Stegostoma tigrinum: one gene and its partner. The protein of the gene in region 1 purifies or fractionates together with the protein of each later gene. This does not show direct contact. Links are inferred from orthologs where the notes say so. Each region holds a gene or a part of one and is shown on either strand. Other genes may lie near its edges.

Region 1 (10,110 bases):
ATTGATTCATTAACTTGTGGTATGATGTGGGTCAGTGATTAAGTCGTAAGGGGGACAGTAACTAAGCTATACGGTCTAAACAAGACTTGATTTGATAAGCCATCTGGATAAGCAGATACTTATCAATACTGCTAACATAATACCCTTCCCAAGTATTGTGCAGGGGCTACAAAAGGTGACACCAGATTGTAACTAATATAATAATTTTAGAAACTTATAGCAGAGAGGGAAGCTATTTGGCCCATTGTCCCAGTACAGGCTCTTCGAAAAAGCAGTGGTGCATTGTTCCACACTATCCCACCATTTTTCCAAAGCCCTGTAAGTTCATCATCCTCAAATATTCCAGTGCCCTTTCAAAAGTATTCAATGGAAACAGCTTCCATTTTAAGTACAGTATTTTAGATCTCAACTTCCAAAAAATTACCTTTCTAATGATTTTGTAATTTTTTTCATCTTTTCTCAAAATCTCTCATCTTAAAACCTCAAATAGGTAACCTCTTTACATTTGTTACAACAGTAGTCCATATTGTTATAACCCACTCATAACTGAAGTCCCTCATCCCTGATACATTCTAATAAATATCTCCTGTACACTTTTAGTACCTTTACATTTTTCTGAAGTGAATTGTCCAGAATGAGTCATGATAGTTTCGATGAGGTCCACCTACTGATTTATAAAGTTCTAGAATAATCTCTTTTATTTTCTTTTCCTCTATTTATACACCCAAGTAATCAATTTCCTAACCACCTTATCAATTTGTCCGAGTATTCCACGGGTCACAACTTAAAAATAAAGCTTGCCAGCCATGATTTACTAAGAGAGAGATTTAACACCAGCAACAGACCTGGGTATGCTTAAGTTCGAACAAGTGAGAAAACAAGATTCAAATAGTGATCTTACAGAAGGGCTGAGAATGTTGCATCTGTGTTCTCCTATTTACAAACATTTGTGAATTGGTCTATTGGGCTGGGAAAGTAGAAATTTAAGTTTTTTTTTCAGACAAATTTGGGATAAGTAAAATATTTCAGTTGACTTCCCCACACTCAAGTTAGTTGGTAGAGTCTTTTTTTTTAGCTATCCAAGGTTTATACTCTAATAAAAGAGTTCCAGGCGATCTCAGCCCCTTGGACTTCACATCCTGTTAACATGATCCTGTTGTGGATAATCATACATAACAGCAAATATCGGCTGCAACAGCTCAAACTCTAGATTTCAGAACTTGAGCAGCGGTTGTCATCATTGCAGCACATATGAATTTCAGAGCTTCATGGATAGCCTATTATAGACAAAGTCAGCACAGAGCTTATGAATAAGCAGGGAAATAGGGAATGGATGACCATCAGCCAGTCAAGTAGAAACAGGTAGATTGTGCAGGAGTCCCCTAAGTGCATCTTGTTATCCACTGAATACTCAGTTTTGAATACTGATGAAGTGATGGTTCATCTGTAGAGTGTAGCCAGTCAGGTTAATGGTACCATGGCTGACTCAATTGCATAGAAGGCATGAAGAACGCTGGAAGAACAATGGTGAAAGAAGATTCAATAGTCAAGGGAGCAGAGAGGGGATTCTGCAGCCACAGACATAAATCCAAGATAGTTAGTTGTTTCTGTCATGTCAGGGTTAAAAATATAACTGAACCTGTGCCAAACACCCAGAGAGTAAACATTGTTGTTAACAACATGGACAATCCCATATAAAAAAGGTGTACCTGTAGCCAGAATTCAGGCGCACCTGCTGCCCTCACCCTAGTTAAGGCTCTTAAGTGGGCAACTAATGACTACTTTAGGACTGTTTGTCAACAAATCACAATTATGAAGCTAGTGAAAGGAATTTAGGAGCAGATAATTACAGAAAGTCACCTCATTCAAATCTTGGATGGGTAGTGGGGCTTCCATCAACAACATTCATTCAACATCAGGGACCTCCAAACATCTACTCCCTGTAATGTCACTGCAGTTATTTCCCCGCTAGTCTTTCTTAGTTTATTTCTCTTGAGAGTCAGCCCACAAGGTGAGAGTCCCTTGACATCAAGACCGCATTTGACCGAAGGTGATATCAAGCAGTGCTAGCAAAACAAGAGTCAATAGGAATCGAAGGGAAAACTCTTCACTTAGAGTAATACCTACCAAGGAGGATGATGGCTATGGTTGTTGGAGGTCAGTCATCTTAGTTCCAGGACATCTTTACAGTAATTCCTCTGGGTAGTGTCATGGGCTCAACCATTTTCATCAATGACCTTACCTCCATTAGAAGATCAGAAATAGGGATGTTTGCTGCTGATTGTGCAATGTCCAGCACCATTTGTCACTTCTCAGATATTGCACTAAGATCTGGACAATATCTACATTTCAATTGGCAAGTAATATTTTTACCCCACAAGTACCAGGTAATGACTTTCTTTAACAAAAACAGAACAATTTCCCCATGATATTCAATGGCATTACAATCCCTGAATTCCCCACTATCAAAATCCTGGGGGTTACTATTGACCAGAAGCTGAACTGGACTTGCCATGCAAAGATTGTGGCTACAAAAGTAGTCCAGAGTTTAGGAATCCTGCAATGATTAAATCAATGACTCTCCAAAGACTATTCGCCATGTACAAGGTTCCTAATCAGAAACGTGACAGGATACTCCCCACTTGCCTGTCTGAGTGCAACTCCAACAAAACTCAAGAAGCTTGATGTCAGTCCAGAACAAAGCAGCCCTGTTGACTGTCATCACATTTGCATCTTTCAGCAATGACACACAATAACAGCAGTGAATACAAGGGCAGCACGGTGGCTCAGTGGTTAGCACTGCAGCCTCTCAGTGCCAGGGGCCCAGGTTCAATTCCAGCCTTGGGTAATTGTTTGTGTGGAGTTTGCACATTCTCCCCGTGTCTGCGTGGGTTTCCTCCGGGTGCTCTGGCTTCCTCCCACAGTCCAAAGATGTGCAGGCTAGGTGGATTGGCCATGCTAAATTGCGCATAGTGTTTAGGAGTGTGTGGGTTATAGGGGGATAGGTCTGGGTGGGATGCCCCAAGGGGCGGTGTGGACTTGTTGGGCCGAAGGGCCTGTTTCCACACTGTAGGGAATCTAATCTTAAAAAAAAGATGCGTTGCAGAAATTCAACAAGGCTTTCAGATATCAACTTGCAATGTTTGAATACTACTTTCTCAAAGGATTGGGCAGCAAACAGATGGAAACACTACCACCTGCAAATTCCCCTCGACACTACTCAACATATAATGAATTATATCTCCAAGACAAAACCCTGAGACTCATCACTAACTGCATAGTGAGTGTTGCTTACAACAACTGGACTCAAGTAATTCAAGAAAGCAACTCATTTTCAAGAACAACTGGGGATGGGAGGTAAATGCTGGCCCAGCCAGTGAGGCCCACTTCCCATATATGACTATTTAAAAAGACAAACCAATTGACCTGGAAACAATCTCAAGACACCATTGTTGTTGCATATAAAAATAAATGTGCATGCTAGAAATCTGAAATAAAATCAAAATACTGGAAAATTTCAGCAAGTTTGGAAGGGTTTAAGCTCCAAAATTCCCACTCTAACCACATATTGTACTTTAACTGTCATTCTTAAACATGTGACAAAACTTTTGATCATTACTTCTAAAATTTATTTACATGGTTTAGTCTCAACTTATGCCTGAGCATGCCATGAACGGGCAAATGGAACATTTAAGGTACTGCATGAGTGCAGATTGTTAAAACAAATAAAAGTCCTAGATTGTGTTCTTAATTTCTCAATAATGCTCTCATGAGGGACTCAGGTTTTAAAAAGGCCTATAATGTCCTAAATCAATGCATTATCATGAACACGTGTACTTTGAGGTTATTTTCCTGTGAACTACATTGCCTTTACTGTAAAATATATTTAAACATAAATAGCACCATGCAAAATTTCCATTTTATAAATAAAAATAATGATTTGTCTAAGCAATAAGGCAAATATCGATGTTTTGTTTTGTTTAATTCTTTGAACTATCACAGGACTTTTCTGATGAATTGTGTACACTTTGTTTACATTATCATCAGTGAGATCCACCTTAAATACTGTGAAATTCAAACAGTTACAGCAAAATAGTAGTCAATATCGGAAAATAGTCAGATGAAATATTATGAAGCTGGCAATCTAATCAACGAGCGTCACAATTCCGATCTTGTGCTGATGACAATATTCGTAAAATTTCAAAAGAATTTCAGTCAGTGTGTCGATACATCTGAATCCAACCACGATGAATATTGAAAAGGAATTCATCCAAATCTCAGCTGGAGTATCCCCAGGACAGATATTTACTGCAGTGCTTTTAAAATAGGATAAATTCCCAAAGTCTTCCTATTTGCTCCAGTCACTACAGCAGATGCCGGGGTGTGAGGAGAATCAACTCCAGGGAGATTCTAGTTTTTTTAAATTTACTTTTTATCCTTCTTCTTCAAAGAGTCCTTTATGCTTTCCTTCAGCTCCTTCGCGATGGCGTCTTTTAACTCGGCGACTTTCTTGTTGAGTTCCTCGAGGTTGCGGGGAATGTCTCCCTTCTCCAGGAGCTGCCGGAGGGCGTTGGATTGACTCAGGCGCTCGGCCACACTCCTGCCTCTCACCTGGAGCCGTGCGATCACATAGACAGTGATCTGGGCCGCCCGCCGCACCGGCGTAGACTCCGACAGTTTCTCGATCAGCCGCGCGTTGTTCAACGCCGACTGCAGCAGCCTTCGCAGTACCATGGCGGCCACTCAGCCTCCTTCCTCGATCCCGCTCACCTCCCTTCTGACCTCCGCGCTGCTCGGCCATCGACCCCACTATCTAATCGCCATGGAAACGACTCGATCACCTCGGCGATCGGCTGCACTGCTCCGTCACTTTTACAGTCCGGCGGGCAGCAAAGATCATTTGTTTCTTCATAAAAGAAAAATTCTGCATTTCACCCACATGTTGTCTTTGCAGTAAAGGAACGTAAACACGAGGCATTACACCTTCTTTGATTTTAAATCAGGGCGTAAGTCTCGCCGACAAAAACAGAAGTTGCTGGAAAAGCTCAGAAGGTCTGGCAGCATCTGTGAAGGAAAAAAAAGAGTTAACGTGTTCGGGTCCAGGATAGCGGTATAATTTCAGGAACGATCAGCCCGGAGTCGGCGGCAGCACGGACGGTTTCAAGTGGACGGACAAGACGGGAGTTTCTAGTCACCTGCTGCTTCCGGCAGCGAGGGTCGGTTGCTGCTTGTCTGTTTTTTGCTTCCCTCTCCGCCTCCGCCAGACTTTTTTTTTGGTGTCATGTCTGTTGTGCTGAATGCCCTCAACAGCGATTCTCATGTGGAGCTGAGCCAGTACCGGGATCAGCACTTTCGGGTAATGCGTCTCTTGTTTTTCTCTTCCAGGCCTGTTTTAACCAGTGATAAACCGGCCGTTAACCAAGCGGTACCCCTCTAGTCACAGCCAGACAGAAAGCCAAGTGTTGATACCAGGAACAAGTTTGGACAATGCCCTGAATTCTCCCTGTGTTTTTTTTTTGATCTTTTGAGGCCTGCTCCTCTCGTGTCTGACCTGCTACCAGTTCAGTTTCCTGAAAAATATTGATTTCTATCAATGACTTTTACATTTTCAAATTGATTTCTATAAAGTAATAGTTTGTATTCGATACTTATGAGGTACACTTAGTTTTTTTGAAAATTGAGAAGAAATAGATCGAGATGTAAAAGATATATAATAATAAAGTGTGGAGCTGGATGAACACAGCAGGCCAAGCAGCATCTCAGGAGCACAAAAGCTGACGTTTCAGGCCTAGACAATTCATCAGAAAAGGGGGATGGGGAGAGGGAACTGGAATAAATAGGGAGAGAGGGGGAGGCGGACCGAAGATGGAGAGATTACAAGGTAGGTAGAGAGGAGAGATCCAAGATAATAAAGTATGAAGCTGGATGAACACAGCAGGCTCTGATGAAGGGGCTAGGCCCGAAACGTCAGCTTTTGTGCTCCTGAGATGCTGCTTGGCCTGCAGTGTTCATCCAGCTTCACACTTTGTTATCTTGGATTCTCCAGCATCTGCAGTTCCCATTATCTGTGGTAGAGAGGAGAGTATCGGTGGGGAGGTAGGGAGGGGATAGGTCAGTCCAGGGAAGATGGACAGGTCAAGGAGGCGGGATGAGGTGTTAGGTAGGAAATGGAGGTGTGGCTTGAGGTGGGGGGAAGGGATGGGTGAGAGGGGAACAGGTTAGGGAAGCAGAGACAGGCTGGGCTGGATTTGGGATGCAGTGGGGGGAGGGGACGAGCTGGGCTGGTTGTGTGGTGCTGTGGGGGGAGGGGAAGAACTGGGCTGGTTTTGGGATGCAGTCGGGGAAGGGGAGATTTTGAAGCTGGTGAAGTCCACGTTGATACCATTGGGCTGCAGGGTTCCTAAGCGGAGTATGAGTTGCTGTTCCTGAAACCTTCGGGTGGCAACATTGTGGCACTGCAGGAGGCCCATGATGGACATGTCGTCTGAGGAATGGGAGGGGGAGTGGAAATGGTTTGCGACTGGGAGGTGCAGTTGTTTGTTGCAAACCGAGCGGAGGTGTTCTGCAAAGCGGTCCCCAAGCTTCCGCTTGGTTTCCCCAGTGTAGAGGAAGCCACACCAGGTGCAATGGATACAATATACCACGTTGGCAGATGTGCAGGTGAACATCTGTTTGATATGGAAAGTCATCCTGGGGCCTGGGATGGGGGTGAGGGAGGAGGTGTGGGGGCAGGTGTAGCACTTCCTGTGGTTGCAGGGGAAGGTGCCGGGTGTGGTGGGGTTGGAGGGAAGTGTGGAGCGGACAAGGGTGTCACGGAGAGAGTGGTCTCTCCGGAAGGCAGACAAGGGTGTGGATGGAAAAATGGTTTGGGTGGTGGGGTCGGATTGTAGATGGCGGAAGTGTCGGAGGATGATACGTTGTATCCGGAGGTTGGTGGGGTGGTATGTGAGGACGAGGGGCATCCTCTGGGGGCGGTTGCGGCAGGGGCAGGGTGTGAGGGTTGTGTTGCGGGAGACGCGGTCAAGGGTGTTCTCGACCACTGCGGGAGGAAAGTTGCGGTCCTGGAAGAACGTGGACATCTGGGATGTACGGGAGTGGAATGCCTCATCCTGGGAGCGGATGCAATAGCGGCCGAGGAATTGGGAATAGGGGATAGAATTTTTGCAGGAGGGTGGGTGGGAGGAGGTGTATTCTAGGTAGCTGTGGGAGTCAGTGGGCTTGAAATGGTCATCAGTTTCTAGCTCCCACGTTTCCCGCAACACATCCCTCACACCCCGCCCCCGCCAAAACCGTCCCCAGAGGATCCCCCTCGTCCTCACACACCACCCCACCAACGTCCGGATACAATGTATCATCCTCCCCTCCACACTCCCCTCCAACCCCACCACACACGGCACCTTCCCCTGCAACCGCAGGAAGTGCTACACTTGCCCCCACACTTCCTTCCTCACCCCCATCCCAGGCCCCAGGATGACCTTCCGTATCAAACAGATGTTCACCTGCACATCTGCCAATGTGGTATATTGTATCCATTGCACCCGGTGTGGCTTTCTCTACATTGGGGAAACCAAGCGGAGGCTTGGGGACCACTTTGCAGAACACCTCCGCTCGGTTTGCAACAAACAACTGCACCTCCCAATCGCGAACCATTTCAACTCCCTCTCCCATTCCTCAGACGACATGTCCATCATGGGCCTCCTGCAGTGCCACAATGAAGTCACCCGAAGGTTTCAGGAACAGCAACTCATATTCCGCTTGGGAACCCTGCAGCCCAATGGTATCAGCGTGGACTTCACCAGCTTCAAAATCTCCCCTTCCCCGACTGCATCCCAAAACCAGCCCAGCTCGTCCCCTCCCCCCACTGCATCCCAAAACCAGCCCAGCCTGTCTCTGCTTCCCTAACCTGTTCTTCCTCTCACCCATCCCTTCCTCCCACCTCAAGCCGCACCTCCATTTCCCACCTACCACCTCATCCTGCCTCCTTGACCTGTGCATCTTCCCTGGACTGACCTATCCCCTCCCTATCTCCTACCTATACTCTCCTCTCTACCTATCTTGTTTTCTGTCCATCTTCGGTCCGCCTCTCTTCCCCCCCCCCCCCCCCCCCCCCCCCCGCCATTTATTCCAGAACCCTCACCCCATCCCCCTCTCTGGTGAAGGGTCTCGGCCTGAAACGTCAGCTTTTGTGCTCCTGAGATGCTGCTTGGCCTGCTGTGTTCATCCAGCTCCACACTTTGTTGCCTTGGATTCTCCAGCATCTGCAGTTCCCATTATCACTGGGAAAGATATATGATGTGAGTGGGGGGTAAAACTGGTTATGGAGTTCAATAAGAGATGAAAATGTGGGGTTCAGTCATTTTGGGGCTGAGAAAGATGAGCAGGACTATTGTAAAGCTAAGAAGTAGAAATTGGAGAGTAACGGTATTTGGATGTGCATGTATGCTCTTAAAAACTGATGTGTGGGTTGGGGGAAAGATAGCTAATGGAATGTTGGTCTTCCTCTCAAGGAGAGCTGGAAAAGGTAGAAGCTGTATTTCTGTTTGTGCAGTGCCTTTTCTGGACCAAGCACTCTGTTCAGTTCATAGGTACAGCAACACGGGAAAGCCTTGGTGGTGGAGCAGTGCAAATTCATTAGCATGATTATTCTGATTAAAAGGGTTGTTTTAGGGAATGGTATAAAACTGACTTGTTCCTTTTTAATTCTGAAGTTGAGTGATGATCTAAGTCAGGTGTTTAAATTTGGAGGCATTGTAAACTGAGGACAATGTAAAATGTCAAAAGATCATTGACAAGTGGAGGGTGAATAAGTGGTAGATATTCAGTTCTGTTCATTTTGATAGGATGTGGAGAAACAATATAAAATAGAAGGTATTACTGTAATGTGTGTAGGAGCAGAGAAATCTGACAGGGCAAATGGAGATCATGGTTAAAAAAACAAACAGTATCCTAGGTTTTAAGTTGTACTGAGTCTGCATGTGAGATGAATTGGGTTAGTTGGACTATTGTGTGTACTTCCACAGGCCACACTTTAGGAAGTATATGATGGCATTAGGCAGAACACAGTGGTTTACAAGAATGTTTCCAGGGATGAAACATTTCGGGTATGAAAATAGATTGGAGAAGTTGAGGCTGGTTTCCTTAAAGAGGAGGAGGGAGAGATGAGATTTGATTGAAGCTTTCAAAATCATGAGAGGTCTGAACAGAATAGACAAGGAGAAACTGTTCCCACTTGTAAACAGATCAAGAGCAACAGGGCAAAAATTTAAAGTAATTTGCAGAAGTAGTGTATATGATGTTAACAAGGTTACCTCTAAGCTATGCAGCCACTTGGAGAATCCACACACACCAATTGGTGCACACAGGCATTGATTTTAGATTTTGGAAGTCATTGCCACACATGGACCTCAGAGGGTGATACAGAAGGAAAGAAATAAGAAGGAATCTCGGAGGTGGTCAGGTCTGCAGTGCCTTGCGTGGAGATGCAGGTTTAATTGTACATTCATGAAGGCGTTATTTCTATTCAAATAATTGCCTCATGTACAAGGTTAGAGGACAGGAAAATGGCACTAAATCATGATGTTCATTCAGAGAGCCAGGACAGACATAATGGGCTGAATAATGTTCTTCAGCACTGTAATAATTCTGTGAACTGGTGGAGGAATTTGAAAAGTTGGTGGGAAGTTCCATTCATTTGGAGAAGTTCAGAACAATATCTTAAATTTAGAGTTAGGTCATTTGGGTCTCAAACCAATGAGTGCTTTTGAAAAATGATAGTGGAAATGTGGAACTCTTTGGTTGTCTGCTGCCCTGCCCTAATTTCCCTTGATTTGGTTGGCATTCTACACTATTTCAGAGGGCAGTTCAGTCAACCACATTTCCATGGATCTGGAGTCACATGTAGGCCAAACCAAGTAAGGATGATCGGTTTATTCTGATTCTGTACCTGGGAAAATGGATCTGAAGTAGGTAGGTTGAGTTGAGGAACGGATCAGCAGTAATTCGGTAACGTGGTGAAAAAGCTTTAGGGACTGAATTAACTATTTCTAATTTGACATACCAGACTAATTCATGGCCATTTATTTCATTTTGCAGTGTACTTGTGAAACTTGG
Region 2 (10,688 bases), on another chromosome or scaffold:
TACTTTTGCAGTCGTCCTTATTGGGCCACATGGTCAAATCCTGGAATGGAACTTTGGAGCAGCAACCATTCCTAGACAAAAGGAGAGTTACCAAATGTGCCAAAGTGGCACAAACTATCACTAGAATCGGATTTAATACTTAAACTCTGGATTTAGTAGTTCTACTGTGCACTTTAGACATGGCCTGTAGGAGGAATTAAATTAATTTTCCTTACATTACAGAAAACAGAATGAAAATAATCAGATTACTTTGAAAACAACTTTTTCAGATTCTTGCAGCCCTTTTGTTATAAACGTATTGCAAACGGGTGCAGGGTTTTGGCTGGATAGGAAGTTGGGTAGCGAATCCTCGAAGAGAGTTGGCAAGTCTGGCCGCTGAAAACTGCAGTCTCTGTCGGGCTGCGTGAAATTCCAGGCACACGGCAGGACACACTGACCTTACAAACGTCCGACTAAAGCAACAACGCCGACCCTACCCACTGCTCAAAAGCCAAAAACATTGAATAACAGTCTGCAGCTGGGGCGGGGGAAGAAAGAAAGTCAGAAAGAAAGATTAGTCCGAACGTTAGTCTAAGGTTGCTTCTGTAATTTGCAGTGCAAGAGGAAAGACTTTCTGGGTGAAGTCCTGTTTGCAGTGGGCCGTTGTCACCATTATACAGAGACAGTCTCTCTCTCTGCCTCTGCTGCTGCTCACCTCTCCTCGCCCTCCCCAGCTCCCGTTGAAAACGCCGGGGTTGTCCTCCTTTAGACCCAGCTCCTTAAGCCAGGCATAGTCGGGCTGCTGGATGAGCAGACTGGACATGGCTGCAGACAGTCTCCAGCTGCAGAACACCTCCCTCTTTCGGAGCAAAGGCCTCGCGAAGGACAGCGTTACCCGGTGCATCCTATCAGCGCAGCAACGCAAAAATCGCAGCAATTTAAAACACACACACGCTGTCGGTGAAATCGGTGGAGCGCAGCCTGTGTGATTGGCAGCAGCATGCGCTGCCCACCTCCCCTCCAACGTCCAAGGAAAAGGGAATGAAGCGAAGAGCCGGAAGAGCTAACCGCAGATCCTGCCCTGAACCCGGTTACTCAACCCCGAAAATAGATCAGCAGCACGTCCGCTGACCGTGCAATCCCAGAGCTTGGGGCAGGGGGGTGGTAGAAAAACACATAGTCACTTCGTTTTAAAGCATTTCCCTTTCTGCAATAATAATAGTCTCTCATAATGAAACGTCATTGCAGCACCAGCTAAATTTAGAGCTGCATTTTAACAATTGAAAGCATAATCAAAATGGTTTTGGGGGGGGGTTGTGGAAAGAGAAAGATGGATGGGAAGCTTAGGGCACAGGACTAGCTGATAAAAGTGAATTCACCATAGTCCCGGACGACTCTCATTAGGGAGACACTACTAGTGGTGGTTTAAGCAGAGAGTCACCACTTCTCAGGGAGGGGAGAGGTTAAGGAAATACTTTCGTGGTAACCTTAGAATGTACAGCAATTGAGCCTAATGTTTGGGGACATCACCCGATATCACAAACCAGCTGTCTAACCAATTGAGATACGTGACTCCCTACCAGCTGAAAGGACGGTTATGATGGAAAAAACATCAGTGGTGTGCAGCAAGCCAGAAATGAAGGCATGTGAGGTTCTTAGAGGATCGTAGATGATGTTCCATCCATTTGTTTCTTTGTCTGGTTATTACATTATGTACTTCCTTCATGATTGCTGCCATTGGCTTTGCCCATGTGTTAAAAGGACCGGTGGTTTGTGCAGTCTGTTTGTTTCATTGCGCTTATTATGGGTTGCTGCTCACCAGCCTACCTGGCTGTACAGCTTAGAGAGAGTGTCAGTTGTCAGGTTGGAAAAGTTAGAGGCAGGATGGACTAGGCCATGGGGAGATTTGAACACAAGGATATGTGAGCGGGACTTGGTGCAGTGTTAGGAAACTGCCAACCGAGTTCGATGAAGAGAAGTCTACAAAAGGTGCAGCGCAGGTGCCCATTCAGCAAAGTGTTGGAATCGTCAGTTATGGGGGTACAGAATTAACCTGGAATCACATCCATTGTAAAGAAAAATCAGAATAAAGCCATGGAAACTGGTTTCGGGATCAGAGGGTCTGAGATAGGAGGGCAGATAGGCATTACTAAAGAAGTGAAAATGCTGACTATGATCAGAGTGTTACTACTATTCAATTTCTTCCAACATTAACTTTCTCAGATTTGTTCCATTTTGGCCTTTGTAACCACAGTGACCACTTGATTCACTATGAAGCATTTGGAGACATTCCAGAGAAATAATAGGCCCATAAGATACAAGGATAGGATTAGGCTATTCAGCCCATTGAGTCTGCTCTGCTATTTGTTCATGGTTGTTAAGTTTCTCATCCCCACTTTGCTGCCTTCTCTCCATAACCTTTGATCTCCTTACTAATCAAAAACCAAGCTATCTCTGTCTTAAATACACTCAGAAACTTGGCTTCCACAGCCTTCTGTGACAATGAGTTCCATAGATTCACCATTCTCTGGCTGAAGAAATTCCACCTCATCTCAGTTCTAAAGGGTAGCCCTTTCACTCTGAGGCTGTACCTTCAGGTTTTAGCCTCTCCTACTAAAGGAAGCATCTTCTCCACATCCACTCTATCCAGACCCCTCAGTATTCTGTGAGTTTCAGTGAGATTCCCCCTCATCCTTGTAAACGCCATTGAGTACAGACCTGTCAACAAATGAAAAATTTCATGCAAAGTCGTCAAGTCACTGATAATATCGAAATTGAAGGGAAGGAAATCAAGTGGGGACTGCAGTCAGGGACTGAAAAAGGCCAGAAACAAATAAACTTATGTCAGGACAAAGATTAATGTTTTTAGCAGTCAGTGATAAGGAACGACAATGTCATCCAAGTCAGGATGACGTGTGATATGGCGAAGAGTTTAGAGATGGTAGCGGCGTTCCTATGCAAATTCCCTCATAAAAATTTGCAATACACTACAATTTGCTGGGCAGAATTCTCAGCCTACAGATGATGTTAATTGCGTAGAAATATCTAAAAATACTCAACCACTCCCCATAAGACAAGTCCTTCATCCCCAGGATCAGTCCCTGAACCCCTCCAAGGCCGGCACGTTCTTCCTTGGATACAGAACCCAAAACTGCTCACAATATTCCAAATGTGGTCTCACCAGAGCCTTACCACCTTGGCAATAAATCTCCGCTTGTATATTCTAACCCTCTCGAATGTGAATATTGCATTTGCCCTCCCAACTGCCAACTGACCCTGCATGTTAACCTTAAGAGAATCCTTAACTAGGACTCTTCTGTCTCTTTGTACATCGGATTTCCTAAAACATTCCCCATTTAGAAAATAGTCTATGCCTCTATTCTTCCTACAAAAGTGCATGTTCTCATACTTTCCCACATTGTATTCCATGCCTTCTTTCTTAGGCTGTCCAAGACCTTTTGCAGCCTCTCTCCATCCTCAACACTAACTGTCTCTCCACACAACATAAATGACATAACATAAGTGCAAATATCTGTAGACATTTCTGTTAATGATGTTAACTTGACAAATAAATCAGGATCCATGTACCTTTCCAGGCCAGACCATTCAAGACTGTCCTGCAACTTATAACCTAGAATGCATTCTAAAATAAGATCTTCATTTACATTTTAATTGTTCATTCCTTATTTAGTACATTTCAGAGTATTTAGCAGCTGAATTCACTCTCCACAAAATAAATATAAGCTATTGAACGGAACAGAAATTATATTGGTAAATTTGTAAACTGCAGAAATTGAAGCAGCTTTGCTAAGAAATAATAAGTTGGCAATATTTTTATAACATCTGTTTCGAGGTCTTAAGACAGTCATCATATTAACCTGAACTGCCTTGTTTATTTGCTTCCTTTTACATTTTGCAACAAAGTCCAATACAGTTTAGAAACACAGAGCTTTCTTTGTTTGTAACTAGCAGTTTCTAGGCTGCGTTAATATGTTGCTCTTGACCCTGACATCCTATTCATAGCTATGACAATGGTAATGACAAGTATGATGTTCTAGATCAGACAGCTGGTTTGAGTTTGGAATGTTTGAAACAGTTTCAAGGAGTAATTGATTTAACTTAACTGGAAGAACAGAAACTATAGATCAAATGACATCTAGTTTTGTAATAATACAATATAAAATGTTTTTGTTGACTAGCTTTGGACAGAAAATGCACAAACTTTTAAGTGTATCTATGGAAGGTGACCTCTTCATAATTTCATAGTCTTGATTTTCAGACAACTCAATTCTTGAGAATTATACTCTTGACACTGTTGACTCCCAGCTGAATGTGACACTGCGGAACAAATGAAGGGGATTGTGACTGAGAGGGGGGATGCAGATAAAATTAGTAAGCCATTAAAAATATACAAGTTAATAAAAGTTGTATTTGTTAAAGGTGTGTCATGTTTGCACATTTAATTTTGATACAGTAATGATCCAATAAAAAGCATATTGGAGACGACAGGCCCATTGGCGACAAACATTAATCTTTCTAATGCTGCTGAGGTGGGATGCCCCTTTGGATTGGAGGTAAGCAGTCCACAATTTTATATGGTCAATGTTTATAGAATACCTCTAATGCAACAAAACATCCATGACAATTTATATTGCAGCACAAGGCAAAATGTGGTTTCTGGTTATATAAAGTGATATTAGAAAGGATAGCCAAAAGCCAAAAAAAGTTAATTTTAAGGAGCACCTTCAAGGAAGAAAGAGATTTCAAGAGGTGGAGTGATTTCAGAGTAAATTACTGAATTTAAGTCCCTGGTAGCTGGAGTCATAGCTAGGTTTTAGACTGGTAAAATCTCTGGCAGGAATTGAGTCTGCCTGTCTTCATCTCTTTCAAGGTCTTTTGCATGTCCGGGTGGTCCTGGTGGCAGGAGTATGTAGTATCTAAGGTTGCGCCTGATGAACATGAACAGTGGGCAGCTCAAAGTATAAAATGCCTTGTGAGAGACTTGTGGCACAGTGGTAGTGTCCCTAACTGTGGGCCAAAAGGCCAGAGAAATGCCATGATACGCCTAAATAGATTAATTAAAAAATAACTACAATGTGTTGATGACATCAGTAACAATTTGGAATATTGTGTGCAGTTGTGGTCGCCCCATTACAGGAAGGATGTGGAAGCATTGGAAAAGGTGCAGAGGAGATTTACCAGGATGTTGCCTGGTCTGGAGCGCAGGCCCTATGAAGAAAGGCTGAGGGCCTTGGGTCTGTTCTCATTGGAGAGAAGGAGGCTAAAAGGGGATTTAATAGAGACATACAAATGATCAGAGGATTAGATAGGGTGGACAGTGAGAGTCTTTTTCCGAGGATGATGACTTCAGCTTGTACAAGGGGGCATAGCTACAAATTGAGGGGTGATAGATTTAAGACAGTTGTCAGAGGCAGGTTCTTTACTCAAAGAGTGGTAAGGGCCTAGAACGCCCTGCCTGCCAATCTAGTTAACTCAGCCACATTAGGGGCATTTCACCAGTCCTTGGATAAGCATATGGATAATGATGGGATAGTGTAGGGGGAGGGGCTTAGATTAGTTCACAGGTCGGCGCAACATCAAGGGCCGAAGGGCCTGTTCTGCGCTGTATTGTTCTGTGTTCTATGTTCTAATGTTTTGATTTCATTGAGATAATATGTATTTTTATTTTGGGCGGATCTGAAGTTTTTTTTCAATTTGAGTAAATTAGAAGTATCATAAAAGGTTGTAGTAATTCTTATTTGGTGACCTTGCCTGCAGCAACTGGTCACCTTCATTTATTCAGCCAGCTTGCCACAACTATTTAATAAAGAGACATTAAAAGAATCAAGAAACAGAGGGACAAATAAAAACAAGCACAAGCTGGAATCCAAGGTAGACAGACAGGAGGCTGGAAGAACACAGCAGACCAGGCAGCATCTGGAGGAAAGCAGCAGTCAACATTTCAGGCATTACCCTTCTTCAGAACTTCAAGAAACAGAGGCCACAAGTTTAAAGTGATCTGCCCAAAAAATACAAATGTGAGGGACATTAAAAAGCATTTTCACACAACGAGTAGTAAGATTATGGAATGCGCTGCCTGCAAGTATAGTTAAGGCATTCAAGAGGGCAATGGGTGATATTTGGATGAACATAATGTGCATGACTACAGTTATAAAGTGGGCAACTGGCACGAAGTAACGGTCATCATTTGGAGATCCGATGCAGATGAGATGGTCTGAACAGCCCCCTTCTGCACTGTAACACTTATATGATTCTGTGATATAAAACCAATTGTCTCTCTATCTCAGAGATAGCGGGAACTGCAGATGCTGCAGAATCTGAGATGCCAAGGTGTAGAGCTGGATGAACACAGCGGGCCAAGCTGCATCAGAGGAGCAGGAGAGCTGACGAGAAGGGTCTAGGCCCGAAACGTCAGCCTTACTGCTCCTCTGATGCTGCTTGGCCGGCTGCGTTCATCCAGCTCTACACCATTTTATCTCTGTCTCACTGTCTCTCTCTTTCCTATCATGAAGAGAGAGGATATCTATAGCCCACTGCAATCAGCCAGTGCAGCGCCCCCATCTGGTCAGGGCTAGAGCAGCCCGAGGCGTGGTGTTGGGGTGTGGAGAGAGCAGGGAGGCTGTGACCCGGAAGTGCAGAGCTGGAGGTTTTGTTTCCGGGTTCGGGGCCAGGCTCTGCTTGCAGCGATGGCGGCGCCGCTGGAGGACGGTGAGGTGTTGGACACCGAGTCGGACTCGGAGATGACCACGGGCGGAGAGCTGCAGGTACCGGAGGGGAGGGGAGGGGGGATTTGCAGTGAAATGGTTCCCTGTGTCCCCAGGATTAGCCACATCTCTCCCTGACGGAGCAGACCCTTGCAACATGGAGATCCAGCTGGAATATAATGGGCTCTCATTCTCCTCTCCCTCTGGAGCTATGAGTCCTGGGGCGGGGGTGTGATTGCCTTCTGTAGCCGCCTCCTGTTCCTGGGGTGAGTCTGTACCCTTCCTTCACATCAAGCCCCAGGCCACAAATGCTTCACTTGTAAAGTTCACACCTTCGTTCCAAGACCATTTTGTAGCCAAAAAAACCCAGGAATTGCTGGAGAAACTCAGCAACATATACAGAGAGGTAAACAAAAATCCGTAAATGTTTCGACTCCTGTGACCTTTCTGAACCCTTTTGTAGCATTTTCCCTCTCCATCTGTGAACCTCTTAAACCCCCATCACGGCTCAAGCTGTCTTCCAACTCTGTCCAGCCCCTTGCGCATCTCCCTGCAATTTATTTCTCCCCAGCTTGCATAACCGGCCTTCGACAATCATTAAAAGCTGACAATGCTATAAGATATTCAAGCATTTTTTAAAAGACTATCTTGGTCCTGTACCTCTTACTTCCTTTAAGATGCTCCTTAAAAAGTATTAGGAAAGCTGACCAATGGTTTGATCAGATATGTCTACATAGTCTGACATCATTTTCTTTTCCCCCTTTGAGATTATTTCAGTGCACTTAAGATTGTTTTGCTATCTTAAGATATTCAGGTGGATTCAGAATGTCTTATGATACTCATTAATCTTTGTGCAGGGAGTAGCCTACCCAACATGCATTCTTTGACAGCAAAACAGAATAGCTGGACAGTTTGTTCTTGTATAAGACATCTTTCTTGAAATTTAGCTACTGTGCTCTTTTTAACCATCATTCAGTGAGAACTAGTTAGTGTTGTGAAAAGGTGCTTTTATGATTAAACGGTAGGAAAATTCAATTGGAGCTACTTGATCTGAATTCATCTTTTGAAGGGGAAAATTTTCTGTTGCTACAACAATGAGCATCTTGAGTGTCTAGGTCTATAGATGAACATTCTGAATTCTACAGTATAAAAGCTGTGGTATATCTGTCATAATATTCTGCCGTTTCTGGTGGATTTAGTTTTTAAAAATAAATTTTACTTGAATTAATTTCAAATTTGAATGTTAATCTTTCTAAAGTTTGTAAGCGTTTGAGTGAAAGCTTCCAGAATATTCTCTCAGATACTGGTGCAGATGCATCCTGAGAATTTTAAGTACCACACAACTTCCTATTCTTTATTACCCACTTATATCTGTAGCTTCTCCAAGGTTCTCTCCATGGCTGCCACTGTTTTTCAGCAACATGGTATTTCTCAGGGCCATCTTGTAAAAACTTGCCATTTTCCACATGTACACAGAAAGCTGGTTTGTCACTATTTCTCTCAACCTGTTCACGTCCTTTGACTTGTCATTGTGCTTATCTGACTTAAGGTGAACTGAATTTCTTCCATTTAAGTGTCAGACAGACCAAAGCCATTGCCTGAGGCCAAGCCAAACTGTTGGGACTTGGTGTAATGTTTAACACAGTTTCCACCTCCATATCATAAAATCCCTACAGCATGGGAGTCGGCTATTTGGCCCATTGAGTCCTGACCACACCCCCCACCACCCCCACGAAGATCATCCCGTGTGGACCAACTGGCACCTCCCCCACCCGATTTCCGTGTAACCCTGCATATTGGACAATCCACCTAACCTGTACATCTTTGGACTGTGGGAGGAAACGCATGCAGATTTGGGGAGAATTTTCGAACTCCATCCAGTCTCCCAAGGGTGGAATCGAATCTGGGTCCCTGGCGCTGTGAGGCAACAATGCTAATCACTAAGCCTAAAGCCAACTGTTGAATTTCCACTTGACGTTCAATCCACGTTTTATTGACCTATATTGTTGCACAGTCTGGCAACAGCTCAGCTTTTAAAATTCTCAAATAAGAATAAAAACTGCTGGGAAAGTTCAGCAGGTCTGATAGCATTTGTAGAGAGAAATTAGAGTCAACGTTTCGAGTCGAGTGACCCTTTGAGAATGGATTCTGAGGAAGGGTCGTTCGACCTGAAACTTTGACTCTGATTCCTCTCAGCAGATGATGCCAGATCTACTGAGCTTTTACAGTGGTTTCTAGTGTTGTTTCTGATTTACAACTTCCGCAGTTCTTTTGGTTTTTGTTTAAAATGCTCATATTTCTTTTCAAGTCCTCCTGTGGTCTTGTCCCAGCTTAGTCCTGCAACTTGTTACAGCCCTAAAGCTCTCCAAGATTGCTAAGCTTCTCCATTTTGTGTCTGTTGCACATCTCTAATTTTCACTTTGCCACTGTTGTCTGTACTTTTAGCTGCCTAGACTCTAAGCTCTGGACCCACTTCCCTAAACCTCTACATCTATTTCCTTCCCTCTCTCTTGTTTAGATGCCTCTTTGACCAAGGTCTTGGCTATCAGCCCCAATATTTCTTTATTCAACTTGTCAAATTTTGATTGAAATTTCTCATGATGTTTGTACAAACCAAATTCAGTTCAGGGCTGCAGTCCTGGGCAAAAGTATCAGGTTCCAAGCCCAGACTTTTGAGAGACTGAGACCTTCACTTAAAGTCTTTAAGGATGGAATTTAAGGTTGCAATCAAAATTTGAGATTAATGCCGTCTCTTTTTATTGTTGAAGTCTTTTCTTTGGACAAATTCCTTCAGTTGCTGAAGGAAAGAAATCTCGTCAAACACATGGGATCATGCAACTAGATTGCACATTAAGAACAAGATGTTCCGTAGGCAAAATTCATTATGAATATGGGTGAAGGAATAAATTTGAAACACTGGAGAAGTGACAGGCGTTTTAGGAGCCACTGCAAAGTGTGAATAGCAAATTATTGCTTGCATGCTATTTTCCAAAGCAATAATTTTAATTAGGCCAATCATAATGTTCACACTTACTAACTGTGTTGTACTTCATTTACAGAACCAGCAAGCTGCTATTCCCAACTTTCCAACTACACCCTTTAGTACACAAAATGATATGCCAGCTCATCCATCTTCATTTGATTTGAGCAGTCGCTACAGAACCGCAACATCTGACAATTCAAGTGAAGAGAGTGATCTTGATTCCGATGATGAGGAAAGACTCTTGTGGCGAAGGAAACGTCAAAAGTGTTCAAACAGTACAAACAATCTACCTTTAAAGCCTCCAGTCGTGCCTTTTGGTCCGGTTGGTGATGGTTTTACGGGGGCTGGAAATCCTGCAAAAGTCGGAAGTCACAAAATTAACAATATTTGGGGCTCAGTGTTGCAGGAGCAAAATCAAGATGCTGTGGCAACAGAGCTGGGAATTTTGGGAATGGAGGGCAGCATCGACATGAACTCTCGACAGTCTGAGACTTATAATTATGTAATGGCAAAGAAGATGATAGCAAAGCAGCGTCAGGAGGAGGAAGAGGAAATGAATAAGTTAGAAACAGAATTAGATGAGTATGTACAGGATGGAAGGAAAATCAAAAACCAGGAAGAGTCTAATCAAAGTAATCTCAAGCGAAAAAGGCCAGTTAAGGAGAGACTAGGGGAAAGGCTTGAAATGAACTATAAGGGAAAATATGATATTAAAGAAGATGATAGCCCAACGAAGATTTCAGATGAAATAGCTTACAGGTTGGTATGTTCTGTTTACAGTTATTGCTAAATACAGGTTATCTAGAATGACAACTGAAAAGTTTTCTGCAGAGGTAATAGTAAGATGCTATCTGCAGATGTTTTCTGCCTTGTGTGAGCCTCGGAAAATTTGCCTTTGTTCGGTGTGCCTCTGAGCCTTGATGGTACCCCCAACTGTGCAGTAATCATCAAACAATACCTCTGTTCATCCTGCTTTTTTGTTCTTTGAGAAAAGTCAGCGT

The links.
Region 2: the proteins of ncbp2 (region 1) and phax purify together in Homo sapiens (affinity purification with mass spectrometry; 5 studies listed by BioGRID and IntAct, with this or other methods). This does not show direct contact. The link is inferred for Stegostoma tigrinum from reciprocal best matches to the Homo sapiens genes NCBP2 and PHAX.

The regions. Positions count from the first base shown.
Region 1 is NC_081367.1:52,261,096-52,271,205, reverse strand, and holds the start of ncbp2 (nuclear cap-binding protein subunit 2), read left to right. Parts: upstream 1-5,148; 5' UTR 5,149-5,281; coding exon 5,282-5,356; intron 5,357-10,110. Other genes in the region: protein NCBP2AS2, read right to left, coding at 4,426-4,734. UniProt on the Homo sapiens protein: Component of the cap-binding complex (CBC), which binds co-transcriptionally to the 5' cap of pre-mRNAs and is involved in various processes such as pre-mRNA splicing, translation regulation, nonsense-mediated mRNA decay, RNA-mediated gene silencing (RNAi) by microRNAs (miRNAs) and mRNA export.
Region 2 is NC_081356.1:68,957,005-68,967,692, reverse strand, and holds the start of phax (phosphorylated adapter RNA export protein), read left to right. Parts: upstream 1-6,652; 5' UTR 6,653-6,686; coding exon 6,687-6,764; intron 6,765-9,763; coding exon 9,764-10,446; intron 10,447-10,688. Other genes in the region: aldh7a1 (alpha-aminoadipic semialdehyde dehydrogenase), read right to left, coding at 695-883. UniProt on the Homo sapiens protein: A phosphoprotein adapter involved in the XPO1-mediated U snRNA export from the nucleus.